3 linked regions of the Diceros bicornis minor genome follow. The protein of the gene in region 3 purifies or fractionates together with the protein of the main gene of each other region. This does not show direct contact. Links are inferred from orthologs where the notes say so. Each region holds a gene or a part of one and is shown on either strand. Other genes may lie near its edges.

Evidence for each region. Proteins that work in one complex are often made in the same cells at the same time.
Region 1: the proteins of DHX9 (region 3) and PRMT1 purify together in Homo sapiens (affinity purification with mass spectrometry; 3 studies listed by BioGRID and IntAct, with this or other methods). This does not show direct contact. The link is inferred for Diceros bicornis minor from reciprocal best matches to the Homo sapiens genes DHX9 and PRMT1.
Region 2: the proteins of DHX9 (region 3) and DDX17 fractionate together in Homo sapiens (co-fractionation; 3 studies listed by BioGRID and IntAct, with this or other methods). This does not show direct contact. The link is inferred for Diceros bicornis minor from reciprocal best matches to the Homo sapiens genes DHX9 and DDX17.

The regions. Positions count from the first base shown.
Region 1 is NC_080773.1:25,061,653-25,071,358, reverse strand, and holds the start of PRMT1 (protein arginine N-methyltransferase 1), read right to left. Parts: upstream 4,274-9,706; 5' UTR 4,259-4,273; coding exon 4,223-4,258; intron 2,098-4,222; coding exon 2,044-2,097; intron 1,833-2,043; exon of another isoform or gene 1,743-1,832; coding exon of another isoform or gene 1,725-1,742; intron 1,508-1,724; coding exon 1,406-1,507; intron 644-1,405; coding exon 488-643; intron 339-487; coding exon 275-338; intron 1-274. Other genes in the region: BCL2L12 (bcl-2-like protein 12), read right to left, coding at 9,417-9,467. UniProt on the Homo sapiens protein: Arginine methyltransferase that methylates (mono and asymmetric dimethylation) the guanidino nitrogens of arginyl residues present in proteins such as ESR1, histone H2, H3 and H4, FMR1, ILF3, HNRNPA1, HNRNPD, NFATC2IP, SUPT5H, TAF15, EWS, HABP4, SERBP1, RBM15, FOXO1, CHTOP, MAP3K5/ASK1, MICU1 and NPRL2.
Region 2 is NC_080764.1:11,437,208-11,446,934, reverse strand, and holds the start of DDX17 (probable ATP-dependent RNA helicase DDX17), read right to left. Parts: upstream 4,274-9,727; 5' UTR 4,113-4,273; coding exon 4,063-4,112; intron 1-4,062. UniProt on the Homo sapiens protein: As an RNA helicase, unwinds RNA and alters RNA structures through ATP binding and hydrolysis.
Region 3 is NC_080743.1:84,570,968-84,580,999, forward strand, and holds the start of DHX9 (ATP-dependent RNA helicase A), read right to left. Parts: upstream 3,712-10,032; 5' UTR 3,606-3,711; intron 913-3,605; 5' UTR 891-912; coding exon 780-890; intron 121-779; coding exon 1-120. UniProt on the Homo sapiens protein: Multifunctional ATP-dependent nucleic acid helicase that unwinds DNA and RNA in a 3' to 5' direction and that plays important roles in many processes, such as DNA replication, transcriptional activation, post-transcriptional RNA regulation, mRNA translation and RNA-mediated gene silencing.

The sequences.
Region 1 (9,706 bases), on a different chromosome or scaffold from region 3:
TACTCACTGAAAAAAATAAAGACTGTTCTTGCCCTATCGTTTTAAGACTGAAGTGCTAAGCTTGCGACTTCGACACTCAAATTCTAAGACCGCAGAACACGCTCATAGGTCGTGGGTTCTGAGAAGGCTGGATCCCCCGGCTGTCGGCAGCCCAGAGTCCCCGGGGCAAGAATGGCTGAATCTGTGCCCAGTGGCCCAACCCCCTTGCCCAGGGCCCCGGGGAAGCTGGGCTCACCCACTCCACCCCCCAAATCCGTTCTCTTCCTGGGCTCACCGTGGTCTAACTTGTTGGCTTTGACGATCTTCACGGCATAATCAGAGATACTGGAACACTCGATCTGGGGGCCCAGGAAGAAGGGAGGGTGAGAGCCCCCCCAGTCCCCCCTTCAGCCCCCATCCCTCTCCACCCAGTGCCGGAGCCCTGAGGGGGCCCCCTCTCCGACCCCCAAGCCCAGCGCCAGGCCAGACCGGCTGCCAGGACACTCACCCCGATGACCTTGCGGGCCCCGGCCTTGGCAGCAAACATGCAGAGGATCCCCGTCCCCGAGCCCACATCCAGCACGACCTTGTCTTTGAAGAGGTGCCGGTTGTGAAACATGGAGTTGCGGTAGGTGAGGGTGCGCACCTCATCCTTCAGCATCTCCTGGGGGGGGCGGGAGCACAAGGATACCATGAGGGGGTTCATTTTCCAGCTGGAACAGGGGCTGCCCTGGCCTCCAACTCACTGGGTTTGGAGAGCTAGAGCTCAGCCCTCCCACTTGCTTAGTCCCCTCGGAACAAGTCATTTCCCTTCCAGGTGCCTCAGTTTCCCTATTTTTAAAATCAGACTGGACGGACTAAACTCCCATCTCAACCCGATTCCACCACTGCCTCCTAAACCCCAGCAATCCTTGGCTTTCAAAAGTCCTCAGTAACTTAATGCCACTGAACTGTATACTTGAAAATGGTCAATTTTACGTATATTTCACCACAATTCCAAAAAGGCCATAGTGAAAAAAAAAAAAATCCTCAGACTCCCATCCCAGCTACTTTCTGGGACCTCAGCCTCCACAGGGTGCAAAAAGGCACGTCTGCGCACCGGGCGTGAGCAGCTGGGGGACAGTCCCACCACCGGTCACGAGAGGGCGGCAGAGACCGGCACGCCCCGCCCTCCGGCTGGAGTCGCAGGCACGCATGCGCGCTCCCACTCCAGCCTCCCAAGAGCGGCCCCGTGGAGCTGCCAGGTTCACCTCGGTCTCCAAGGCAACGGCTGAGCGAAAGGACCCCCGGAGCGTGTGCCACGCATGCGCAAAGGGGCGGCCCGCTGCCAGGGGAGGCACTGCACATGCGTGGGAAATTCAGGTCCAGCCCTGCCAAACATTAACCCCACGAAGAATCAGCATTCTCAGGAACTGTCCACACTCACCTCGTGGATGCCGAAGTGAGCGTACGAGTCAAAGTAGTAATCTTTGGAAGTCATGTCCTCAGCATTGGGCTTCTCGCTGCTCTCTGCCTGGCCACAGGAGACCTGGGAGGGGTGGATGGGAGCGCGGGTCAAAACTGGGGGCTCCCCACGGCTTCTTAAACCTCCAGGTCCCTACTTATGAAGAGCATAGACACCCCCCAAATCGTACCTACAGCCCCCGCCTGCCATCTTGCCTCCCCCAGAACCCCAAAACCTAACAACCCCATTCTCTCTTTCCAGGACCCCCCCCAAAGCACCATCCAGGGGAGCACCCCGATACCTCAGCCACGCCTACCATCTCTCCAGTCTCTCTGCCCCCATCTCTAGCTCAGCCCACAGCTGGAGAGGGGAGGGGAAGCAGAACTGGGGTCGACACAGGGAAGGGCAAAGGGGGGCTGGGAATGGAGTTAAGGAAGTAGCCACAGTATTGGGGGAGGCCAGCTGGGGGCCACAGAGCTGGAGGGAGTTTGGAGTAAGTGCTTCGGAGGTACGGAGTAAACAGTTTGAAGCAAGAGAGATCATGGTTAGACTGCTAGGAAGGGCCTGATGTGTGGCAAGACATGTTTATGTGGGGAAGGGTCTCACAAAAGGATATTTACTTCTTCAAGAGGCGGCTGGAGGCTCATCCCATTAGCCAAGGTGGCTACAAAATTCTAGGAGAGAGTAACAGGGAGAAAGGATTAGCTACTGGGGGTGGCTAGGGGAAGGCCAGGCCAGAGGACACAGGCCCGTAGGGGCAGGGGGGTGTTGCCTGCAATTTTCCTTTTCCTTGGTGGGGAGTGGTGACAGAGGGAGCAAGTAAAGAGGCGGGGCTGTTTTTAAAAAGAGAGAAGTGGAGGGAGAAGAGAGGGGTCCTGTCTCAGCTGTGGCTGGAGAGATGGTGGCCTGCCCCAACACTGCCCCTCTCTGGCCAGGCACCTGACCATACACACCTCCCCCATCCTGGCCAGAGGAATGGCACCCGCCGGGCACACAGGCACTGCCAGCTGTCACTCCCCCTCATCATCTAATCCCCCCAGATTAGGTGACATTTCCTGACACACACCCCCATCCTGGGGTGCCAGGAGTAGCTGGGGGAGGGGGGCTGGCAAGGTGCACCCACTGGGCATCTGCCACCTCTGCAAACCAGTCTCTTATGAGAGGATTCCAGAAAGGAGGTGTGGCACCCCCACCAGAGGTGGCACCCCAGCCTCTACCTCCTGCGTTGGGCTCAGGAAGGCCAGAACAAAACCAGCTGGAACCAATCACCTCTCTTGTTACCCTCTACCCAGAAAGGTAGTCCCAGGGAGGATGGCCAGACTCTGGCCCCTCAAGCCCCTCTCCCCTCATTCACACACCCATCCAAGGCCCTGAAGCCCCCCAGGTGTGGGGCCAAGTCCGGGGACAACCTCTGGGGAAGATATTTCTTCCACGACCAGATACAGGCCCGGGTCCAGGAGAGAGCCATGGGGGGTGGTCACACTGGAGTGACCCCTGGGAGCTCCCCCCCAATGGTATGCATCTTGGTGACTGAGGCCCCATCACATTACATCTCTTCCAGATGTGACCACCCTCCAAGCGTGAAGTCACAGACACGACCCACTGGGCTCCAAGCCCCACTCCCATCCTCCAAGCCAGTAAGGAAGCCTGGGGAGGGGATTTCCCACTGGGGCCCATTTCTCAACACCACTAATACCACCACCAGACGAGCCCCAAGAGGGCTTGAAATCCAGCACCGCAACCAGCCCCACATGGCAGCACAAGAACCAAACCTCACGGGAAACCACTTCATGCATCAAAGCTCAGGACCCCTAAATAGGACATCAGGAAGGGGGAGGTCATCTCCCACTCTCACAAATGCGTCGGAGAAAGGGGTCCTGTAAGGGGTTAAGCTCGCAGCCTGTATTCCATCACATCCCCTTCCCAGCAGACAAACTCTCCCTCCCCTTGCCCCGGAGGGCTCCAACCAGGAGGTGGGCTTTGGGACACGCCCCATGAAAAAGATGTCCCTCCCACACACCCAGAAATGGCCACAAGGGGGTGCACGAAGCCTTATCGAGAAGGATCTCCTTCAGCTAGGTGCCCCCCCAGAGGGAGGTCACAGGGGCATACCCCATCCCCCCAGCTCCCAGAGCGCAGGGCGGGGGAGAATCCAGCAACAGGAAACGGGACGGCCCGAAGGGGGCCAATTCTTAGTCTTCCTCCAACCCCAACCCCAAAGTGCACGAAACCTGGACCGATGCCTAAGCAGACGCCCCGCTCCCGGAAAGGGGGTTGCAGAGGCTCAAGATACATCGCCCCTCCTAAGAGGCTCTTTACTTCGCAGAGGACCCCAGGTAAGTGCCACCAGAGGCGTATGTCACGATCCCCGGGGAGGTGGGCTGGGGGCGTCCGAGGGAGGGTCGGAGCCTCCTCCCCGCCCCCCCGGGCGCCCCTCCTCCGGTCGGGGGCGGGGCCTTTGTCCCACACGTGGAGCCCGCCAGGCCACCGGGCACGGCACACCCCCTCCCCACCCACCGCGCCGCGGCCACGTGGGGGCCAGGCCGGAAGCGCCCCCGGCCCTCCTCCACGTGGGAGGGGGCACGATACCCACGGTTCGGCCGGCTGCCGCGGGCCCCCGAAAGCTAGGGAGCCCGAACTTCAAAAGGTACCCCCGGATCCGGAATATGCGACGCCCTCTCGGTACGGCTGGGGGCCTTCTGCCCCAATCCGTCTATTCGGAGCTCCTTCTCCATGACGGAGGCATAAAACACCGACCCCCAAACCGCCCCCGCCCCCGACGGCGCTCCAGGCGCTCACCTCCATGATGCAGTTCGCGGCCTCCGCTGCCGCCATCTTCACCCGCACCTACTCCTCCTCCGGCCGCCGAAACCCCCCCCTTTCTCCGCACTCCCCCGGGACCGTCTTATACCGGAGGGTCCACGGCCCGCCCAGCGCGACCCCGCCTGGAGATCTCATTGGCAGTGAAGGCGGCCCGTCTGGGAATACCATTTGACAATTGGACGAAGAAGACGCCCGTCAAAGTTCAGGGGCCCGCCCAGTCTGGCGTGTAGAGCCCCGCCCCCTTAAGTCGACCGGGATGGGAAAGACTGCCCGTCTATCGTAAGAAGCGCGACTGATGATTGGGCAAAGTCAACCAGGAATTCCCGCCCGTTCCCCCACCAGCACCGCCTCACAACTTCCCGGCGGGCCCCGCGCTAAGTGGACATCTTGAAATAGAGCTGTCCGTCACCAAAACGATCCGCCTTTTAATAGCTGCTATTGGCTTAGCCCAAATGTGACGTCACGAGGACTTTGGCCTGCCCTCGCCAAGCTGTCGGCCTCGAGGGGAACACGGGATTGGCCCATCAGGAGGTAGGTACCGTTTTAGGCTTCAGCGATTGGTTAGAAGGACTGTCACTCATCGCCCATTCGGTGGATTCTCCCAGCCCTAGGGGAGTCCAGGAGGAACAAGAGAGCGTATGCCTATTTACCCGAGGGGAAATGTGAAGCAGTGCGAGGTCCAGAGAGGGAGGGCTTGTCCGGGCTTGCGAGACAAGTCAGGAATAAGCCTCAGGCATTGAGGCATTTAACCTTTAGCCCTCTATTTAACTGCCCCAAGTTTTTAAAACCCAGGGAGCCCGCTCAAGCCGCTTGGACTTTGCCAAGCCCCTCCCATTGCCGGGAACACCCGCCTCCCTTCGTCTGGCCAACTCCTATACGTCAGTCAGGGCCCAGCTCAGAGGCCGCCTACTCCAGGAAGCTTTCCTCGTCCTGCAGAAAGTTACTAGTTGGATGAAGATGAATGCGACTTGCAGAATCTATCCATCACGCCAGATAGTTCCTTTATGACCATTTCCAGTCAAGACCTCCCCCTTTCTGTTTTCTGTCACTATAGTGTAGCTTTCCCTTTTCTAAAATTTCATATGAATGGAATTATACTCTTTGTGCTCTTTGGTGTCTGTCTTTCACTCAGCATAATGCTTTTGAGTTTCAGCCATGTTGTTGCATACAACAGTTGTCCCATCCTTTCTACTGCTGAGGAGTATTCCATCGTGTGGCTGTATCACAATTTGCTGATGGACATCTGGGTAGTTTCCCGATTGGAGTTATTACAAATAAAGTGGCTATGAACGTTCACCTACAAGTCTTTCTGTGGACACACACTTTCATTTCTCTCGGCTAAACCTAGAAGCAGATGGCTAGGTCGTATGCTACGGTTAGGTGTATGTTTAACTTTATAAGAAACTCCCAAGTTTTCCAGTGTGTTCCACCATTTTCTTGAATTTTAACCATTCTTGTGGGTATGAAGCGATATCTCGTGGTTCTCTTTTGCATTGTCCTGACCACTAATGTTGAGCACTTTTTTGTGTGATTGTTGGCCATTTTTCTGTATCTTTTTTTTTTTTTCTGCTTGAGGAAGATTGGCCCTGAGCTAACATCTGTGCCAATCGTCCTTTATTTTGTATGTGGGATACCACCATAGCATGGCTTGATGAGTGGTGTGTGGGTCTGCACCTGGGATCCGAACCCTCGAACCCCGGGCTGCAAAGCGGAGCGCGCGAACTTAACCACCATGCCACCGGGCCAGCCCTTGTGTGTATCTTCTTTTATCGAGTGTTTGTTCAAGTCTTTTGCCCATTTTTACAAACGGTTTTGTTTTCTTTTTTCTTTTTTTTGGTATGTGTGTGAGGAAGATCAGCCCTGAGCTAATATGCTATGCCAATCCTCTTTTTTTTTTTTTTTTGCCGAGGAAGATTGGCCTTGAGCTAACATCTGTGCCCATCTTGTTCTACTTTATATGGGACGCCACCACAGCATGGTGTGACAAGCGGTGTCTCGGTGTGCACCCAGGATCCAAACCCGCAAACCCCGGGCTGCTGAAGTGGAGTGCGCACACTTAACCGCTTGAGCCACCGGGCCAGCCCCTACAGTGTTGTTTTCTTATTCAGAAATTGTAAACGTTCTTTATAGATTCTGGAGACAAGTGTCTGTCAGATATATCTACTTGGAATATTTTCTCCCAATCTGTGATTTGCCTTTTCATTTTATTAACGTTGTCTTTGGAAGAGCAGAGATTCTAAATTTTGATGAAGTCCTATTAATCAATTATCACAGCCCACATCTTGACCCCTACTGTACTGCCTTTTTTTTTTTGGTGAGGAAGACTAGGCCTGAGCTAATATCTGATGCCGATCCTCCTCTTTTTGCTGAGGAAGACTGGCCCTGGGCTAACATCCGTGCCCATCTTCCTCTACTTTATATGGGACGCCGCCACAGCGTGGCTTGACAAGCGGTGCATCGGTGCGCGCCCAGGATGTGAACTTGCACACCCTGGGCCGCCGCAGCAGAGCGTGTGCACTTAACCATTACGCCACCGGGCCGGCCCCCCGTTTTTTTTTTTTTGCTATTTTTCCAAATGTTTCAGCATTTTTGTGAGTGTGAGGGAGATCGGCCCTGAGCTAACATCTGTTCCCAATCCTCCTCTTTTTTTGCTGAGGAAGACTGGCCCTGGGCTCACACCCGTGCCCATCTTCCTCCACTTTATATGGGGCTTGGCTGCAGCATGGCCTGACAACTGGTGGGTCGGTGCGCGCCCGGGACCCGAACTGGCGAACCCCGGGCTGCCGCAGCGGAGCGCGTGCACTCAACAACTTGCGCCACCAGGCTGGCCCCGTGTCAGCATTTTTTAACCTTTTTTTCTGATTTCCAAGTATTTTGACCCGATCAATTACTTTTGCTATGTGCTGCTACGAAGAGCAAAAAATTAATACAAACTATCTCTTCAACACTACAGAATAACCAAATGTCATTGAAAAGAGGATGGCATTGGGCAGGGGGATACCTGGGTATAGAGTTCAGGGGAGAGATCTGAGCAAGAGTCAGAAGTGGGGGCATCATCAGCATTAAATTCTGCATTTTCCAACATGGCAGCCACTTGCCCCATGGGGCAATGAGCAATGGACTGTGGCAAGTCTGAACCGAGATGTGTTGCGAGCGCAAGACACACACCAGATTCTGAGGACTTTATATTAAAAAAAAAAAAAGAATCTCAGGGCCGCCCTGTGGCGAAGCGGTTAAGTGCGTGCTCCGCTGGCGGCCCAGGTTTGGATCCCAGGCGCGCACAGCAGCACTGCTTGTCAGGCCATGCTGTGGCGGCGTCCCATATAAAGTGGAGGAAAATGGGCACGGATGTTAGCCCAGGGCCAGTCTTCCTCAGCAAAAAAGAGGAGGATTGGCAACAGATGTTAGCTCAGGGCTGATCTTCTACACACACACACAAAAAAAGTGTATTATCATAAGCCGCTAAATTTGTGGGATTTGTTACACAGCAATAACTAATATACCTCAAAATGTCATTCCTGCTCTACTTAGAAATCATGGTTATTAGACGCTCTCTGGGTGTTGTTAATTGATGTTAATGAAGAAGCATGGCTATTATTATATACACTCATTTTTATATCAACACTGAAAACTTTATTTCAATATACGGTCGATTCTTATGATTTGTGGTGTATGTTCTAAAAAGTCGCTGCGAACACTGACTTAGTGAACACAGAGCCATCGTTCCTAAGGAAAATTCAGGGTCAGGTTCCTGTGAGCCTCTGGTCCCAACACTTTTGTCAGCCCACCAATAAACAACCTTATTTTATGTGTGTTTTCTGCTTAAAGTCACCTTACTTAATAGATATTGTTCATTCATTCACAGTGAACTCTCGGCCAACAGCACTGTAACTCACACCTGAACAAAGCTCATCTAACACACATATTTTCTCCATAAGGCACATCGCAGCCTTCTTGTGCTTAGGAGTGCTAGCCAGCACTTCAGGACTGTGCTTGGGGCTGTGGTAACAGTGAAATCACCACAAAAAGCACAAAAATGTGAAAAACGTGGCACTAAATAGATTGCAAAAAGGACACCTGTTTATAGTATGATAGCTGAAACAAGAAGGCACGTGTTAAGGGGGGCCAGCCCAGCCCAGTGGTGTAGCGGTTAAGTTTGCATGCTCTGCTGCAGCAACCCAGGGTTCACAGGTTCAGATCCCAGGCACAAACCTACACACTGCTCATCAAGCCATGCTGTAGCGGCGTCCCACGTGCAAAAAAATAGAGGAGGGTAGGCACAGATGTTAGCTCAGGGCCAATCTTCCTCAGCAAAAAAAAAAAAAAAAATTGGAAGGCACGTGTCACCTTGCTCGACCTCAGCAGAGAATGTGCACATCAGGCGGGTCAAATCTTCTGCCACTCTGCCCACAAGAATGCCCACCAACAACCACTAAAGCACCAGGAGTATTCATTTGGGGATTACCAACAAATTTTCACGAGTAGGTGAATTCGCAAATACGGAATCTGCGAATAATGAGGATTGACTGTAATTGGTTTCTTTTGTAATCCTGTGCATTTCATTTTATGCATTTACAAACATAATTCTGTGAAGCGGGCTAGGCCCCTACCCGGTCTACAGGTGGATGACAAGAAACCAGCAAAAAAAGCTCAGAAAAAGTGAGAGGAGAAAAAGGAGAAGAGAGTGGTGTTCTGGAGGCCCCATGAAGGGAGACTGTAGCTTTCTTCTGGAACTAGCTGGAAAGACTCCAGACCACCAACACAGGATTAGCTGGAATAAATAATTCATGCAATAGGGAAAAAAATGTAATTAGCTGGAATCATCCTTACAGAGATCCTCAAATATGGTGTATATCCAGATGACAGGTGCTCTTGTAGGCGTTCCAAATAAATATTTCTAGAATAAATGAATTGGCTCTTTCCTCAATTTATAAACCAGAGAGCTCTCTGAACCAAATCTCCTCTACTTAGAACTTTAGTTCTCAAGTGAAAGGATAATTAAATACTTGAAAAAGTTTTTAATATGAAAAAATTTTAAACAATTTCTTTTTGGCAGAAACAGGGAGAGCAGCCACCACCCCACAGCCCCGAGTGGAATAGGAAGGCTTGGGGAAAGCACACAGAGAGAGAGACATGAGGTCCAGTCTTGTAGCAGCTTCTCAGGGAGATCTCAGTCCAGGGGCAAGGTCAAGTCCACGGGTGAAACGGCCAGGATGCCCTCCTGGGGGGAAAAGTGGCAGAGCCTCGTGAGCAGAGAGGCATCCTCCACTCACAGGGGCGTCTGCACCAGCCAGTGGGAGCAGAGACAGGGAAGGCAAGCAACCAGGGAGGGGAGGGGACAGAGACCCAGAGAGAGGGGGATGGAGACCCAGGGAGAGGGGGACAGAGACCCAGAGAGAAGGGGACAGGGACCCAGAGAAAGGGTGACAGAGACCCAGAGACAGGGGGACAGGGACCCAG
Region 2 (9,727 bases), on a different chromosome or scaffold from region 3:
ACTTATGGTGTGATTTTGAGCAAATTATTTAACTTCTCTGCACCTCAGTTTCTTATATAAAGGAGGACTAATACTAATACTACCCACCTATATCAGCTGTGAACACAAATATGTGTAAAGTGCTTAAAACAGTATCTGACATAGTAAGCACTCATGTACCAAGTACTATTTTAAGTGGTGCTGGAGATTATACTACAGTAAACAAAACAGAAGTCTCTACTCTTGTAAGGGAGGACATTAGTTTAAGTTTAAGTTGAAGGCAAGATTGCGGACAGGCAGAAAAACATACTTCAAGCAAGTTACCCCATACTTGGAACTTCTTGCATCTCTTACCCCTTTATACTGAGAGCACTCTTTTCGTCCACTAATCTGCTAAGGACAACTATGAGGACCCCCAAAAGACTGGTAAGCTAGTCTTCAACTTTAGCTCATACTAATGGAGAACAGCCAGAACAAAGATTTATGACCTGTCCTTCCTCTTCATCTCCACCTTGACCTTATATCTTTCTGTTCCCAGGCAAACAGCACTCTTAATTTAACTATAAATTTACCCAAAAAACCCATTAATGTCTCAAAGTTTTTAAAACTCAGATTTAAAATGAGTCTTTTTGCTTTATCTAACTTTCACAACAGACAAGTTCAATTGGAATACAAATATGGCCACTAGTCACACTTGAAATGTTCTACTTTTCCTAGCCTAGCACTAAGATGGTCTTCATTTCCATACTGCAACCCATTAAAGTACAGGGCATTGTTTGGTGTACAAATAGTATACAGCACGTTTTTAAACCATTTCCTTACTCTTGAAAACACTATACTGAATTTAATTTTCCTCTTCCACTCTAACCCACTCGTAACATCATTCGGCAGATGGTTCCACTTTATAATTGACAGGCAGTAGTTGTACTATTTTAAAGGGCCTCAATCTCCTGGAATTCAAAGCGTTCTTAAACTCTTTGGCTTAAAGACTCAGCTAGATATTTCTTTAAATACAGACATACAAAGATTTATGGCAGGAAATTTTCTTGGGACCATTGAGTATTTACATTCAATAGGCAAAATTTGGTGGATTCTATTTATACTACTGCTAAATTGGTAAGAGAAATGAGGAATCAAAACAGGAAAAGGATATTGCATAGGGATACATATATCAAACCAAAGACCAATTTTTAGAGATTGTCAGCCTAGTTTATATAAATTTATATGGTTCCTAGAGGGTGCCATTTAAATGCTGCTGCACTCCAATCCTACCCAGACCGTAAACGAATTAAACTTCTTAAAGTAAGGTTCCTTTTAAGGCTTATTCAAAGCCTCTATTTAAAAGAAAAAAAATGTTTTTCCTTTCTCTCTATTGTCTTGGCTAACTGTCCAAGACATATCTTCCTACTCTATTATAAAGATATAATTTGAAACATGGGGGTCTTTATAAATATGCTGTCTTCTACCTTTACGATTAATGCTGCCTTCAATATTCAAGAGAGCCTTTTACTCTTGTAGAATTTTTGAGCACATCTGTGCCATCCTTTAAAGATGCACATATCCTAATCCCTGGCACACTATGCTGCTCATTAACTGTTTTTATCAAGAATTAAGTTTGACTATGCCATAAATGCAGCTTTGAAATAAGTCATGGGGATGTAATGTACAGCATGGTGACTACAGTCAATAATATCGTATTGTATATTCGAAAAAGCTGAGTAGATTTTAAAAGTTCTCTTCACAAGAAAAAAGTTTTATAACTTTGTATAGTAACGAATGGTAACTACAGTTACTGTGGCGATCGCTTCTCAATGTATACAAATATTCAATCATAATATTATACACCTGAAACTAATGTCAATTATATTTCAATAAAAAAATAAAATGCAACTTTGAAGATTTATATATTAACATGCAAAATCACGCTAGTTTAAAGGTACAATGCACACCATTTTTGGACTGTAAGTGTACATATAGTGACCTCACTCATTCTCTTTTCAAAATAATAGTCCACTTCACTTAAGAACATTCAGTTAAGAATGAAACAACAGCAACTCAAACCATAAAGGAAATTTCATGATAAAGGTAGTTAGAGCACAGACCTTATGAAAGAGTGCCACTTTGTTTGAAATGAATTATTTTTAAAGCTTTTTTTTTTTTAAACATCATTTGATACTCAAAGAATCAATATGGGACAAACTATGGATCAGTAATTCACTTTTTCCCCTTTTCTAATTTATTTTTATTATTAAAGTATACATACAGTGAAATGAACCAAACACCTATGGTTAAAGACACAGAACATTACCAGTACCCTGGTAGCCTCCATGTGCCTATTCCATTTACAACCCCCACCATAACTATCTTGAAATTTTAACCATTCCCTTGCTTCTCATAGTCTTGTCATATTTGTAGGTATCCTTATACACGTTATGCTTCTACCACAACTTGTTTTGCTCAATATTATGTTTGTGAGTCACCCACACTGATACAAGTTTTTTTTCTTTTTCACCGCTGTATTGTATTCTACTGTACAAATATCCACAATTTGTCCAGACATTTAAGCTGTTACCAATATTCTATCATGAACAATGGGGTATAAACATTATTTTGCACACAGACATCGGAGCACGTGTACATGGGTTTCTCTAGGCCTTACAGTCTAGAGTACAAAGCTTGAGAGAGGAATTACTGGGTCATTTTCACCTCTATCAGATAATGTTAAGTTCTTTTTCCTAAGCGTTTATACTGAAATTCACTTCTAAACTTAGCTATTACTGTGAAACACTAAGCAAACATTCCACTTCTAGCCCTCCAAATTTAACATTAAGATCAAACATTTTCCTTCCTAACAAGGTATAATTCAAAACAATCTTTTTTATTTTTTAAATTAAGTGAAGGTGAGGTGCCTGTGACTACAAGGTCTGGTACTTGTGTATCTGAACCCCCAAAACCAAAAATGTTTGGAGAAAATATTAAAGAACACCTACTACAGAAAGACAATTACACACCGTATCTCAATTCCCCACAACAATGCAAAGTAAGGGCAATTATTATCCCCACCTTCAGATGAGAAAATAGGCACACAAAGGTTCAGGATCTTGCCTGAGGTTACATATATATTCAAACGGCATCACATTACTTTTTATCTAGAGATACAACTTTTATTACAAAAAAGTAACAGCACAAATCAACATGGATCTCTTAAGCAACTTTTTCGTCTAACCCGACATTAAGATTTGAATCTCAGGATCTGAGAGAACTTCAGTTTTAATCCTGTTAACATCCAACCCAGTAACCACGGCATTACTAAACGAAACACTTTCTAGTTAGGCTGAGAAGATAATGCTCCAGTCCAATTAGGGAAACAAAAGACTGAAAGGTTAAAAAAAAAAAACAAAAAAAACAACCTACACTAACGACCAAACCAAAAAAACCCCTCTCCCCAAATTTAGATGGCAAATAATTTCACTGTTTACTTTCCAAGATGCTTGCTTCTAATTTGTTAAAATACGACTAAAAGTGATAGAAAATACTTTTAAAACCACAAGTCAGCCTTCTGGTCTCTAGTTGCAAACCAGGTTTCCAATTCCAGGCACAGCTATCTCGGGCGACAGATAACACCAGGGAGGCCATTTCGCGTTCAGATTGCCTAGGCCGACCGCGGAGACCCCACGCTCTTCTCTCACCGCGAACCCCCGTGCTCCAGATGAACGCCGAGGCCTGGGGAATCAAGCGGCTCGGCCGGAACCGAGGCAAGGGCCGGGCCGGGGGTGCGGCGGTCACCCCCTCCCGCTCCCGCGGGGCCGCGCCACGACGGCCGTCCGCAAGGAGGGGCCGGGGCGTCGCCAAGCCGCCGCCCCCCGCCAGGTCATCAGCGACCCTGGGGCCCAGGCCCACCCCGAGGCCCGCGCTCGACCCCGCTATTATGCCTCGGGTGGCCCCGCCTGCGGAGTCGAGAGCGTCGCTCCCAGGCCTGCAGGCGCTCAAAGCCTCCGGCTCGGCTGCAGGCTGCGGTCTCCTCAGGAAGCAGCCCCCCGCGCCCCACGCACACGCGGAGCCTCTCCTCTCCTCCCCCCTTACCCTCCACGGTCACGATCCCGGTCCCGGTCCCCAAAGCCGCCTCCGCGCATGGTCCCAAATGGATAGAGATCTGGGAGCGGGGCACGGATGGCCGGGCTCGGGAGGGCCTGCGGCTCCGGTCTGGTGACGACCGATGGCGGCGGCGCCTCCGCTGTTGGGGCGGCGGCAGGCGCGGCGCTCTCTCGCTCCGACGCGCTGTCTCCCGTCGCAGACGCCACCGTCGCCGCCTCTCTCGTCGGAGACGGGAGCAAAACACAGAGAATCGGGGTTATAAAAACAGTGGCTAGGTTTGGCTACGCTCAAACCCGGCACTGCCGCGGTTTAGGCGTCTCCTTCCCTCCCAGCGACTGCACAAAATGGCGGCCGGCGCTGAGACTGCTCCAGCTTAACGCTACGTACGTCGGAGGCGATACGTAAACAGCGTCTCGGAACAGTCCGAGGGCTTCGCGGAGTACTACGGGTATTCTTGAAGGCATTTTACGTCAGTTGCGGAGGTGGGCGCATTTTGCGGCCGGCAGAAGTAAAACAAAGTACGGATCGAGCGTAGAGTTCTCGCGCCACCTGAACTAGAACGTGGTGGTGGGTGGGGGGGCGGTGAAGAGCCTCCGGTGCGACGTAACATTCTTTGCGTCGTTAGCCGGCCCACTATTGCGAAGATGCGCAGTGTGCGTAACGCATTCTGTTTGGAGAATAGAGGATTTTGCCGGGTTCCGACCGCGGGCCGGAATCCGGGTCCGCTTGTGCAAGTTTGTTTGCATAGACAATAACTGTCGTCCATCTTGCCGTCGTCAAGTTTCAGGGTCTCCAGGTGCCGAAAGTCCAGGAGGGTCTTCAGGGTCTCTGGCTGGCGCTCCTCCATGGCCTTGCCGGCTCTTCGGCCCCGCCGCCCTGGGCCTGCCGAAACTGACCGCGCGCCCGGCGCCATTTCCTTTCAGTTGCCTCCCGGCGCGCTGTCGCCGGCAGCCATGATGGATGCGCCATGTCGGTTCTTTCGGGAGTTGGTCAGGCGGCGACGTCCCCGCTGAGTTAAAGCACTCTTTGCTGCAGTTGGTTCACACAGAAGTGCATTTTCTGAACAGAATGTTTACCCTGTCCTCGGCTGAGCACAGTTGGCTAACAAAGAACCAAAATGTGGGTGAAGCCCCACTTACGGTGGCCGCCGCGGTCCTTTGGCCGCCATTAGCCGGCGCTGCCTCAGGAGGCCCGTGGAGGCCCTTAGCGCTCTCCCGAAGCGGAGGCGTCCAAGCGGTGGGCCTCAGAAAAGGTGAAGGCCTGAGGACGTGTTTGTGAGCAGGCTAGGCCGCGTTCTCTCTCAGTTCGTCGAAGCTGGCTCTTCTCCGCGCCTGCTGCTTCCCCTCCCACTGCACTGTGAAGTCCCACAGGCGTGGCTAGGTGGCCTCACGGAATCCTCGAGCCGCGAGGGCCCTTGGAGAGCGCTCGTTTGACATCTCTTTTATTTATTTCTACAGATGGATAGAAGGGGGGACACTTGAGGCCCCTCGTCGTGGGGGCCAAGTGGTGTCTTCCGCTCTGTTCTGTTTCCCAAATTACTGCAAAAGTAGCATAGGGAGTAGAGCTTCAGGACAGGCTGTTCAGATGTCTCTTGGGCCGAAAGAGGCAGATGGGCCGTGGGATTCATTGGACAAGTGTTGACGGCCTAAGGGATGGAGCAGTGGGCTGGGAACTGGGGCACAGCAGTGAACAAATGAGTTCCTGCACTCGTGGAGTTTACGCTCTAGTGGGGGAGATAGACAATAAATGTTTATGTTAGGCAGTTGCTAACTAAGATAAAAAGAAAGAAAAGTAAAGCAGAGAAAAGGGACAGAGAGTGTATGTGTGCCTGCGTGGGAGGGAAGTATGCCTGTTACATAGTGTTAAACAGGGTGTCATAGGAAGGCCTCCCTGATCAAGTGACATCTGAGCAGAGACCTCAAGTGAAGGAGCTAGCCTTGTTTACATAGCGGAAAGAGCAAGTGCAAAGGCCCTGTGGCAGAATGTGGCTGGAGTAGAGGTAGGAGGAAAGATGGGAGAAGGCCAGAAATAAGAAGGGCTTGTAGGCCAATGTAAGGACTTTGTATTTTCCTTTCAGTAAATTGGAAATCTCTAGAAGGTTTTAAGCAGACTGACATAATAAAAGGACCTCTACGACTACAGTGTGGAGAATTAAATTGAGAGTGAGCTAGGGCAGAAGCAGGCAGATTAATTGGGAGGCTAGTGCAGTAATCCAGGCAAGAGATGATGGGGCTTGGTTTGGGTTAACAGCAACCAGTAAAGGAGAAATGGTCTGATTGAAAATTGAGCCAATGATTTGCTGATGGGTGGGATAGGAAAGAAAGAAGTGTCAAGGATGAATCTTGTAGGAGTTGGCCAACAATTAAGCTCCTACTGTGTTTTAGACTGTACAGGAACTGAGGGAGTTATTTGGACTGGTTTGCCTATTTATCATATATGCTAAGTAATTAAATCTGAGGCTCTCTATATAACAATAAATAATTTATAAAGTAAGGTAAGTCCACTGAAACCCTCCCTACATTTTGCCAGGGGGAAATAATTCATATTTTGCTACTAGATCATGTCCCTGTCTTACAGCAACTCATAGCTCCTTTGTCTTCATAAAGCTTTTCACAGTATGTAATTATATAGTTGTCATTATTTGATTAATCCTGCCTTCCAGAAAAAGGGAACTTTGAGTCTTCCTCTGGCAGACAAGTTTCTGATTATAAAGTAAATCCATAGTATGCATTCTCATTCTTGATCTAATCTCTGTTTTCCTGCTGAAGATGGTTGAAGCTTATTACATTTTTTCTAAACACAGAGAAACAGTTTCATTAGGGAGGTTGGAGAACCTAGGAATTTCATTAGTAACAGCCAAGACCGTTGGTGAAAATGAAAATATACTTTGCTCAATTCATCCTTTTTTTGGAAAATCTAACCATACCTTACCGTACTATGCAATCCAGCAATCACACTCCTTGAGATTTCCCAAAAGATTTGACAACTTATTTCCACACAAAAACCTGCACAAGAATGTTTGTAGCAGTTTTATTCATAATTGCCCAAACTTGGAAGCAACCAAGATGTCCTTCAATAGGTGAATGGATAAACTGTGGTACATCCAGAACCTAAAATATGTTTTCAGAATTTTCTTAGGGGGGAATATTTGAAGACCACTAATTTTAAAAGGTGAACCCAGACCAAGTAGGGCCTGAGGGCGCTGGAGAGCCATGCTCCTTCTCAAGTGGGTGCCTCATTGTCCAGCCAGTTGTTGCCAGGTAGACATTCAGGCCCAGAGTGTTAGTTATTGACTCTGAATGTGTGTGTTAGTGACTTCTGTATTAGAGAGACATAGAAGAATCCCACCCTCACTGAGTGTTTTTCAATTTTGCTATTCTGTGTCTCTTGCTTAAAAACTTTCTGTGGCTCCCGTGACCTAAAGACCAAACTGTAGCTCCACAGTCTGACATTTAAGGCCTTCCAAATTCTGGCCCCAACCTCTTACCACCCTCCTGCTTTGGCAAATCTCTATTCTCTATTCTTCACCCACTTCCCCCCCCCCACAATTTCTGTGATTTTTGTTAATCCCTCTCAGTGCATGCAAATAGAAAAACTCAAGGTCCACTTCTGCCTCCTCCCTGCCTTGGAACCTTAGGGAAGTGATCTCCTGTACTCTGGCACTTAGAGGCATTAATCACTTGATTAACCCAAGGAAAACGATATTCTTTCTGATCTCTTTTTAGATAATGGGGGCAGCTGTTCACTTCCTCCCCTCAACACACGGCACACAAGCAAGCTGAGGAAGAAAAGAGTTCAGACTACACAGTCAGCTCACTAGGGATGAAACAGAATTTATTAAAGAGACAGAATGACTCACAGTCCTAGAGATTAACAGTGTTAATGCATGTTAAAGACTCTAAATGAGAAGAGGGGGTTTATAATTAACAAGGTGTGACAAATACTACACTCACATACACAAATGCTTGGCACTTATTTTTTGGAACACAGGATAAATCCACCCTGCCCTTTGCCTCAGCAAATGGACCTTTCTAATTAGGGCGGGACAAGAAAAATATTTTTGGTGATGAAAAAATTGTTATAATTCTTTAGCAGACTTCTAAGTCAAGGGATCATAGTAGCTGAAGGCTCTTTGGTCTGTTGCATATAAATAAATTTAAAGACAGTATTAAATGATGGGTATGGGAGTGCAAAATCCGAGAAGCCAAATAAAGTCAAAAAGCTTTGCATGGGGGATGTGGGGGAGGAGCCAATAAGGTAATGATTTTACCTTCAATAAAAGCAGTAATGCTCATTAGTGCTTAGTAGAGGGTGTTTGTTTAATGGAGGTGCCATTAAGATGCCATGGAGTACTGAGTTCCACTTCAAGATGGATGCCAGTTGAGAAGAGAGATTGTCTGTGGGGACGTAGCCACATATGAGGTAACTGGTTCTCCGTCCAAAGAGAAAATTCCGAGATATTTCAGTAGATTGAAAGGCACAGGGATGTAATTTTCTTTAGATTCCTGGTTCCTGCTGGGGAACACAAACAAGTCTTTCTTCTTTCCTGAAGAACAGGTGATTGGGGTTGCTTTTGACAAACATAAAGAGGAAAAAGCCTTCATAGGCTGGAGGGGAGGGAGTAGGTATACACTAAAATTGAGACCAAATTCCTTGAGCAAGAGTTAGAGGGGTGGGTTCGTGTTTTTTAATAGATTCCTCTGTGTTCTTCAGACAGATACAGGGGTATTTATTAGATATGGAGCTGAGTGGAGAGTCAGAGAGGAAAGTCGGCAATATCCTGCTGATGAATAGAATGGAAAGGAGGAGAACTGACCGCAAAGTATATAATTATGTTACAGTGAATTGTACTTTAGAAACCCAGAGACTTAATAATGTGAAGAAAAACAGGCTGGCACCAAAAATCAGAATATAAGGACAAAGACAGTGAAAACATCGATAGGTCAATTAAACAGCAACTGGTGTCTCTAAGATATTATATAATGAGAAGGAAAGCTGTAGTATTTACATAATTTTGATCACAGAGGCGAAATATAGTTTGCATATACTTGGAGGAAAACCAACTAGCCTTAGGGCTATCTCTGAGGAAGGACTGTGCCAAACAAGGACAGCAAACCTACACACATGCGCGCACACACACACACACACACACACACACACCCCCTCTGATCTGGGGGTGGTTCAGATTGTAACTGGGTAGAAGGAAGGCAGAGTCAAAAGGAGGGACTTTTGCTTTTGTATACATTCATATGTATGTTTGTTTGAAAATTTATGAGGGTACTGCAGGCCTGTTCCCCTCAGTCTGGCTCCTGCTCAGAGTAAATAAGTCAGTGTAAGCAGATTCACGTGGCTTTACCTCCTCTACCTGTTGGAATCACTGCAAGGACCAGTTCTTTGATTAGGAAATGAGGGAGTTGACTCCCTTGACAGTACTTGTGAACTGAATTGGGATTGTAGTGTTCAGGACAGGCTTTTTGCTTTCTGCCAAGGAGAAGTGAAACTACTTGGGGAAGGACGTGGAGGGGAGGTTGGAAATGCAGTCATCCATAGAGCTACCCAAGGTAGAGGGTGCCTTGTCCAGGCAATGTGAATGTCCCGGGTGCCTGGCAGGCCTTTGCGCCTGCCCCAAACCTGGTCAGGTTAACCCCAGGCA
Region 3 (10,032 bases):
ACTCTTTACTTCATTTATTCGAACCAAATAGTTAACAAAGTCTCTGGCAGCATTGCTCTGTGCATCTTTTTTATTGGTGGAATTGCCCATGCCAGTGTAATTATATCCTTCCACTCGAACCTTTAACAGTCATGAAAAACATGTATTAAGAGATCGATCTGGGTAATCCTGGGATTTAAAAACTTCATAATTCAACAGTCCATTAAGGGATAACAGTTAACTGTTGGAGACAGACTATAAACAGGCTGAAAATAACACACCTAGGAGAATTCATGGGCTTTCTTATGAAAATGCTTGAGTTGTGTTGTCCATTGATAAACTAATCCAAAAACAAGAGCATTAACTTATGTGGCTCAGATAGTCTCTTCTCATGTAACAGAATGTTCCACATTAAAATTGAATTTTATAAGATCCAAGAACAAGCTCTCCATCTGTATTTATTTTAAACACTTTGACTTGAAGCAATCAAGAATTGCTCCACTTTCTACAGGAGTTAGTAAAACAGCAAACAGCTGATCCAACTTTTCTACCATGCACTACTGGTATCATAGAAGTTGAGGAAGATGCATGTTCTAATTAGAATAATCCACCTCTCAGACTGTTCTAAAAGTAATGCTCACATGAAAATGATTTATAATGAACCAGAATAGCAGGCAAGTCACAATAAAGAACATTCTCCAACATGCAACGCATTAACATTTCCAAATAGAAAACACTGTTCTTTTAACACCAAAATAAGCCTCAAAAATCACATAAATGTAAACTGTATTCTTTAGTACCTCACACATGAATTTCTGCCTGTTTTTGTTCCCCACTGCTCTAATTTCATAGGATGGGGTCATCTTCCTTTTGCCACACCAGGCATACAGAAAATTTTTAACATCACCCATGTTTCAAATATCTTCTTCAGACCTAAGAAAACAATAGTTAAAAACAGCATTATTTATAAGAGCAAATATTGGAAATTACCAATCTGGAAATAAACAATAAGTGAGATTTACTGAAAATCCAGGTTAAGTACAGGATATTCTATCATGCTGCTATTAAAATCACCTATGAGGAAACTTTAAAGACATGATTGGAAAGTTCATGACACATTACAAGAAGGAGCAGGCTACAAAACTGTAAGATCTGAACTATGTAACAAGTATATATGCATAAATCAAGACTGGAAAGAAATATGCCCCAAAATGGTTATCTTTGGGTGACTATGAGTGATTTTTATCTTTTCTTAAAAAATATTTGACGTAATGTACTCCCCCATATTTTTTTTTTTTTTTTTTTTACAATAAGCATCTTACGTGTCTTAATTCACTTAATTCTCACAACGATGGAAGACAACATTACATGGTAGATACTATCATCATCTTTTACAGAGGTAGAAACTAGGGCATAGAAAGTTTAAGTAACTTTTCCCAGTCACTCACTTGTGGAGGCCTAAATTCAAATTCAGAGTGCCAAGTTGGCACTCTCCCTCTACTCCAGTTTATAAGATACCAAAAGACATGGTGCCTATGAATCTAAAATCTGAGTCTAATTTACAAGATACCTGAGACCAAATTTAGAACCAATGAAAATATGCTATGAATTTGGTTTGCTGTGAGAAGAAATCCCATTACTAACATTAAACTTTGGTCTTCTGTTAATGTTTAGTGTATTTTGTTAGCACCAAAGTCTAATGTCATCAAACTGGACCCTAGCATAAACTTGTTAATAAGTTTATTCTGCAGCCAGAGGCTAATCCTGGGGACATCCTATTAACTGAAAAGCTACGGAAAGCTGAAGATGTCTATCTATAAACTCCACTCCTGAATAATTAATTCAAAAAACAAGCCCTCAGGGTGAATGAGTAACATGAAATATGAAGGACTACACTATCTAATTCCTTCCTCCCTAGGTAGTTTCATCTAACTCTGTAATATTCAGTATCAAGTATATGCTAATGATGCCCAAACTGATATATATTGAAAATTCAGTCTTTTCTCTTCAAATTTCAAAATCAAGTTTATCTAGGCGCCGGCCCATGGCATAGTTCAGTGGTTCAGGTCCCTGGCGTGGACCTACTGTGGTAGTGTCCCATATACAAAACAGAGGAAGACTGGCACAGATGTTAGTTCAGGGACAATCTTCCTCAAGCAAAAAGAGGAAGACTGGCAACAGATGTTAGCTCAGGGCCAATCTTCTTCACCAAAATAAAACAAAAACAAAAACAAAAAAAGGAAGACTGGCAACAGATGTTAGCTCACGGCTTATCTTCCTCAGCAAAAACATTTTTTAAAAAATCAAGTTCATCCAACTGCAGCACTAACATACCCAGTTGAATGCTAATTTGGCATCTCAGTCAAAACAGAATTTTAAAATTCCTCCCAAACCTCTTCCTCCTCCCCCTAATCCCAGTGTTCCCATCTCCTTAAATGGCACCACCATCCACTCACGTCACAATCTGGGAGTCATCCACTCCTTCAAGATCCTCCATAGCTATCCCTTGTGGAGCCCTTTCTGTGTACCAGACAGTAAGAATCCTGAGGATCATCTACATGAACTATTTTACTTAACCCTTACAACAACTGTATAGATACGCATTATTATCATCCCCTTTTTACAGATAGGTAAACTGAGACAAAGAATAACTTGCCCAAAAGACAGAGCTCTAAGTGGGGGACCCAGAATTCCAAACCAGATAATCCGACTCCTGATCTACTACGCAATTCTGCCTCCAAAACATGTCTCTAATCCATTCGCTTCTCTCCATCTCCCCTGCCACCGCTACTGCACACCGGAGTACTGCAATCACGTCCTAAATGACGCCCCCGTTTCTACTCTAGCCACCCTAAAATCCGTTCTTCTCTTAAATCCTCACCACACTCCAGTCACATGGCCTTCTTTCAGCTTCTTTCCAATCCCTGCCTTTAAGCGCTAACTAATCCCTTCTGCCCCTGCAGTTCAGCTTTTCCTCCGCATCTTTACGGCTGACGCCATTCTCGGTCTCAAGGCCGAGATACCAGCTCAAAGGTCGACCTCTTCCAAAACGCCTTCCCTTTCCATCCCACCTAAAGTAGCTCTCTCCCTTTACACGCCGTAATTCCTCTCTCTTCACCGAAACCTGCAGACATTTGTTCTCCTACAGCCCCCACCCCCACCACGACCACAACCTCGGCGAGGGAAGGGCAGGGCCCCCGCCTAACGTGTGCACTGCTCTTCCCACAGCGCCTGCGGGGCAGCGCCCAGTATTTACGGCCTGAATGAATGAATGAAGGGCTCTGGGCGCGTCGGCGTCACGGCGGGCTCACCACCAGACCATTCACCCCCTTTCACTCAGCGGCGACGGCGACAGCGCCACCGCCGCGCGCTGGCCGGAGGAGGAAGTAGGGTCGGGCTGCTTCGGAGACAGGACTGGGAATCGCCGGGCGAAGGACTGGGGGCCACAACGCGGCCCCCGGCGGCGCGGCGAGCAGCACACGACCCGCAATCCGGGCACCCGGCGGGGCGGCTCCCCCTTCCCCCACCCGCCGCCGCCGCCCGCGCTCCGCAACAAAGCCCGGCTGCAGAGCCGCGAGGCTCCACGCCGCCCCAACGGGTGGCAAAGACGTCTTTCTCCTACCGACCTCCGCTTCCTGGTGCCGGAGAACACAGCTCTCTCACGACCGCCCGTGACGCCGGCCTTCCTCACCAACACCCAGCACGCGCACCGCAACTTGCATGGAAGCGGCAGCGAAATGGCTCCGACGGCGGCGCCAGAGGGGCGGGGTCAGTGCACGTACGCATGCGCAGAGCGCGAGGCTGGGCCAGAGGGCGCCCGGAGGGAGGGGCGGGGCCGCAGCAACCTCGCCGCGGGTAGCGTCCCGTCGCCTGGGAGATCCGCGGAGCTTAGCCCGCCGCGCCCCAGTCCCGCTTCTTCTTGTAGTGCGCTAGCTGCCTTTAAACATTTTGGGGAGTTGGGGACCTGTAGCATTTTGATGCTGCAAAATGTTTCGCTTAAGGGGGCCTCTGGTAGATGAGGTCCTTTGAAGCCAGAACTGGAAATCTTAGGTGCTATCTTCACAGGGTTGTTGAGATGATTAAATGAGTCGGCATATGAAGGGGCCTTAGCGCAAGACGTGGCACATGATTGGCGTTCAATAGGTATTGTTATTGTAGTGACTGAGATACTCCAACGCGAAAGTCTCCTGAAAGAGAAATAAGCTCAGTGAAGGCAGGAACCCTGACTGGCTAGCTCGGGCCACTCACCGCAGTGCTTGGCACATCCTAAGTGCCTGGGAAAAACTAGTTTAATAAATGGGTAAAACCTGCAGGGCTGTTTTTGCTTAAATTGGATAGCTTTTTGTCTTCAGAGTCTTTGGAATACTTTGTATCCTTAACTATTATATAGCAGTCACTGTTAAATTTTTTAACTCTAGTTCTTCCCATGAAGGCAACAATACAAAATAGTTCAAGTTGGGTTTGTTCCAGATACTGGTTGTCCCATTATGTGGGCCCATCATACTATCCATCCTTATTTTTCACCTCTTTCATTACGTTTTTTCTTAACTCTTGCTCACAGTAATCAATCCCTTTAACTTGGTTGCTCTTACAATCAAACAGTTTATAATTTACCCATTCTTTTATTTTCTTTATGTGTTTGCTCTCTTCAATTAAGAGTAAAATCATTTGAGGGAAAGACCTTTATCTTTTATTTATTTCGTACCCACCAGGGGAATCAAAGCAGCAGATACCTGAGTTATTTATGATAAGAGACACTCAACTAGCATAAATGGATTGCAAGTGTTTTGTAGTAGGTAATGAACACAGCAAAAGTGTCAGCATATTAAGTGTAAATAAAATATTCAGAGGTGGATCTTTACCTTCCAAGGATTAAGGAAAATTTTATTATTGATTTGGTTCTTTTTTGTGTGTTAGGAAGATCAGCCCTGTGCTAACATCTGCCAATCCTCCTCTTTTTTGTTTTGCTGAGGAAGACTGGCCCTGGGCTAACATCCGTGCCCATCTTCCTCCACTTTATATGGGAGGCCGCCACAGCATGGCTTGCCAGGTGGTGCGTTGGTGCACACCTGGGATCCAAACCAGCGAACCCCGGGCCCCCCACAGCAGAGGGCGAGCACTTAACTGCTTGGGCCACCAGGCTGGCCCGATTTGGTTCTTAATTTAGGCCTTGCACCTGAGACCTAGAGTCCCCAGGGAATTGGCATTACCTTTGTAGGTTGCCCCAGGCAACTAGCACCTCTAAGATCTTCCTTAACATTTGCAGATGAAGCTTCAAAACATGCTCCAGAAATACAGAAAGTTGACAGATTTCAATCCAACTATTAACTGTTCCTAGTATATGACTATCTAGAAAACTACAGAGGTTAGTAAAGCAAGACAGAGCAGTGTGGGAATTTTTTTAAGCTTGGTAAGGAAATAAGTAACATTCTTCCTACCTGAGAATGTGGAACTGAGGCTACAGATCACTCATAAAGATCAAATAATGAAAGGTCTGTTTCAAATGGGTTACTTAACATTTCACATTTACCTTCTTGGCTAGAAATGACTTAGTTCCTGAGTTTGGTAGAAAATAAAGGTTATAAAGATATATCTTAATCTGTAGATTGTATGTGGAAAAAAACTGGCAAAGTTTCTCATATCATTTCTTACTTCTGCCAATCCAACAGACTGAGGCCAAGTTTCTGGCAAGGAGGATGGGATGGTTATAACCGACACTTATGGTTGAAATGGATGATGAGAAATGGAAGAGGATGTTTTGACTCATCACTCTTCCTCTGTTTCTCAAATACACAAAGAGTTGGAGAGGAGGAATGGATTAAGAAAACCTGATGCCAGAACTAGGCTGTAAGCAAGGTCATGATGTCTTGAGGAGGCCAGTGCTGGTGACGTTTGAGCCCACTCAGCGGCTTGTGAACACCAATGACACTTGCGCCCTTCATTGCTCTTGTACTAGCATATACAGTGTTGTACCCAGGCAGGGATGAAGCTTTTCCTTTTTAAAAAAGGTTCACAGAGACTTCCTGACAGCTTGGATGGCTTGACTTCAGACTCTTAGGAAGCTGCCTACGCTGCTGAATAGGCTGAAGTCCACGTAGTCAGGATTCTTCTTGAACCATTACATTCTTTCCACTTCCAAACCCAGAATGAATTAGGTTAAAATTGGTAGGTTTACATTAAGAAGATATAAAAAAGACAAAAGAAGTGAAATTTCAGGGTAGAGAGAAAGGTAGAATTTAGAGACAGAGAGAAGGTGGGTGCTCTTTGCATCCCAGGAAGGTATCCAGTCCAAGTGATCCTGTGGGCCAGACTCTTCTGGTGCTCTTACCAGCGCATCCACGGAACCTGGATGTCAGACAGGATGACGGGAAATATCTATAAAAAATATCCCCTTAAAGGAAAGTTCAAAGGTACAAACTGTAAGGCAAAAAACTAAAGGCATGGATTATATTAAAATTAAGGCTAGGGGCCGGCCTGGTGGCACAAGCCGTTAAGTGCGTGCGCTCCGCTGCGGTGGCCCAGGGTTCACCAGTTCGGATCCCAGGCGTGCACCGACGCACGGCTTCGCAAGCCATGCTGTGGCGGCGTCCCATATAAAGTGGAGGAAGATGGGCATGGATGTTAGCCCAGGGTCAGTCTTCCTCAGCAAAAAAAACAGGAGGATTGGCAGATGTTAGCACAGGGCTGATCTTCGTGATAAAAAAACAAAAACAAAAAAATTAAGGCTATCAGCTCAATAAAAGACACCATGAATGAAGTTAATAGATAGTTGAAAGAGTTGGGGAAGATGTTCATGATGTTTAAGGTTGTCAAGAGATGATTAACTATTCTAAACTATTCAAGGAACTCCTTCAAATCAACAAGAAAAATGTAGCAATCCTCACAGAAAAATGGGCAAAGGCCACGAAGCAGCAATTTTCAGAAGAGGGAAACCAAAAGGTCACTAAGCATATTCAAGGTGCTCAAAAGCATTAGTAACAAGAGAAATGCATTTAAAACAGCAGTCAGATATCACCACATGCCCATTAGATTGGCAAAAATTAGAAAAGTGAATAATGTCAAATGTTGGTGGTGATGTGGGGATATAAGATTCACCACACGCAGCTGGTAAAAAAGTAGACTGGTACAGCCATTCTGGAGAGAAATCTGATACTAGTCAAACAAATTGTTTGGGTGGGTAAAATCAAACAAGTCTGCTCTTGGAGATATATATATACACCTATATATATATTATTGAGATCTATATCAAAGAAATTCTCATGTAAGTCCAAAAAAGAACAGTAAGATATGTTTATTACAGCATTGCTTGAGTTGGCAGGGAGCAGCAATTTGGGTGCTCCTCCCTAGACAGATAAAATGTAGTGGATGTTAACCATGGAATCCAATGCAGCAGAAGAAATGAATTAGATATACACAAACCTTAAAGGCACAGGGATAAATGAAAAGAATAAGGAACAAAATAAGTTATATAACAGCATTTATATAAATAAAAAACAGCAATACATATTTTGCATAAAAAATTGTAAAAGATCACATTAAACACATCAGAATGGATGTCTATCACAGGGGGAGAGGAATGGGACTGAGGAATTATTTAAAAAAGGAGATTCAACAATTCTAGACTCCCTCAGATAGATGTGGAAGATTGTAAATGATAAGGATGTCAAGGACAGACATATGGTCTAATTCCTACTTACATTAACTAAAAGAAATATTTATTGAAAGCATTTTTTTTGTACTAGGCACTGTTCTAGAGGAAACAGCCCTAAACAAGACAGATGAGATCCTTTTCTCATGGAGATTGCTCTTAGAGACTTCCGTGATAGAGCAGCTTTTATCAAACACTCTGAAGGAAGAAAAAAATCAAAAGAAAACAGCTGTTTGAAGCATTAGAAAGCAATCAAGGAAGCTAATATATGTGAGGGGCCAAAATCCTGAGGAAGCAGCAGCAGCAGAGATTTTGTGTCACTTCTCACTTGGAAGTGTGGGAGATCAAAATTTGGCCACCCTGAAATATATCTCTTTACCTTGATTGTTTTCTCTGAAGGACATTTGACCTCCCCCACTAACTGCCTAAAGAATTTGACATGGTGGCTCCTTCCTGGAACAGATCTTCCATCTGATGGCTGTAATATAATGTAAAATAGATGTTACAATAGGAAAGGCACCAACAAGCCCATCTTATCAGAAATTCTGTCTCTCTGGCCACATTCTCTGGATGGCCCTGCGAGGAGTTGCCAGACAAACATTTACATTTATAAGGGAAATCTCCATTTGTAAAGGTATCTCCCTTTCTGTCTTGGGAAGAGGGGGGATGACCTCATTTCTAGAAACTTATCAATGTGGAAGGTGAGGTCTTAAATCTGCATAATAACCTTACCTTTGTTTACAGTGCTTTAGTGGTAATCTCCTGTAACTGACACCCCCCACCCCCAACATCCTCCTTTGTCTTTAGAAGAAGATGGTATTTAAGATGAGAATTTCTGCTATTGTGTTGAGAAACGCGTGTCCCTGCTTTCTCCCATGTATACATGTTATTAAACTTGGTATTATTTTCTCCTGCTAACCTGTCTTGTTGATTATTTGGCCAGCCAGAAGAACCTTAAGGGAAAGGGCAGAGGGAGATTCTCCCTCTTCCCCCGACAGAAGCATTTGCTGATTCCCAAGTTGCCTGGGCCAAGAGATCAAGACGCCAAGTAGAAAACAACGGCTGAGAGGCTGAAAAGCAGAGCTCTCAGCAGTCTCATGGTACTGGAGAGACAAACCTGGAGTCCACCAAGGAAGAGAGGAGTGGCAAACACTGCAGGCTTTCAGCCGAGACCCGCCCGCCCCCCTCCTCCCGGCAGAGCTACATTCTATAATTTTATTTATTTATTTATTTATTTATTTATTCATTCATTCATTCATTCATTCATTCATTCATTCCCCCAAGCCCCAGTAGATAGTTGTATGTCATAGCTGCACATCCTTCTAGTTGCTGTATGTGGGACGCGGCCTCAGCATGGCCAGAGAAGCAGCACATCGGTGCGCGCCCGGGATCCGAACCCACGCTGCCAGCAGCGGAGCGCACGCACTTAACCGCTAAGCCACGGGGCCGGCCTGAGAGCTACATTCTAAGGAGAAGGACAAAGTCAGGAAAATGAACCCCAGCCTTGAATCATCTCATTTCCTGATTGGATCAAAGTGCTCTACCTTACTCTTCCTGCCAGAAAAGGAAGATAAAATGATCTACAACCTCTCAATTTATCTATAGAATCTCCCACATTCATTTAAAAAAATCTCCAGGCAAGCCAGGAGACAGGCCAAATGACTGAAAACCAAGAGGAAAAAAATATAACAGAAAAAGACCCATAAATGATTGAGACATTGAACTGATCAGACTTTATAAGAATTATGATTAATATGTTCAAGAAAATAGATGAAAACATTGGAGATATTTTACAGAGAGCTGGAATAAATGAAAAAATCAAATAGAAACTTTAGAAGTGAAAATACAATAACTGAAATTCAAAACTCAATTAATGAGTTTACTAGTAGATTGTACATAGCAGAAAAGAGGATTAGTCAATTGGAAATGTTACCGCCCAGAAAGGGCGTTCGTCTGCCCATCGCAAGACATGCCAATAGTCAAGAGGCAAGCAAGGTGGTAGGAGAAAAAGGACTTCTTATTACAGCTTGCTAGCAAGAGGGAAGATGGCCAACTCATGTCAGAAAGAACCATCTTACAGAACAAAGACTACAGGCTAGTTATATAGGGGGCTGGTCTCCGGGTGGGGGCATCCATCTGATCTCCCGGTGGAGGCAGACATCTGGTCTTAGTTCCTGATAGTCTTTTGTTTTACTGGATATGCATCAGAGACTGGAGTAACGCCATATACCCTGATCTTTCAGTTGTCATTGATGATGGCTATCAGCATAGACTCTCTGCCTGGGGGTTATCATATTCCTAAGGAACTCAAAAGAACAAAGTTATCACCTTATTGAAGCTGGGAGGTACGTGCACAAGCAGAGGTCGCAAAATCTACATAGCAGTTAGATCTCCCGGAGGGTGCA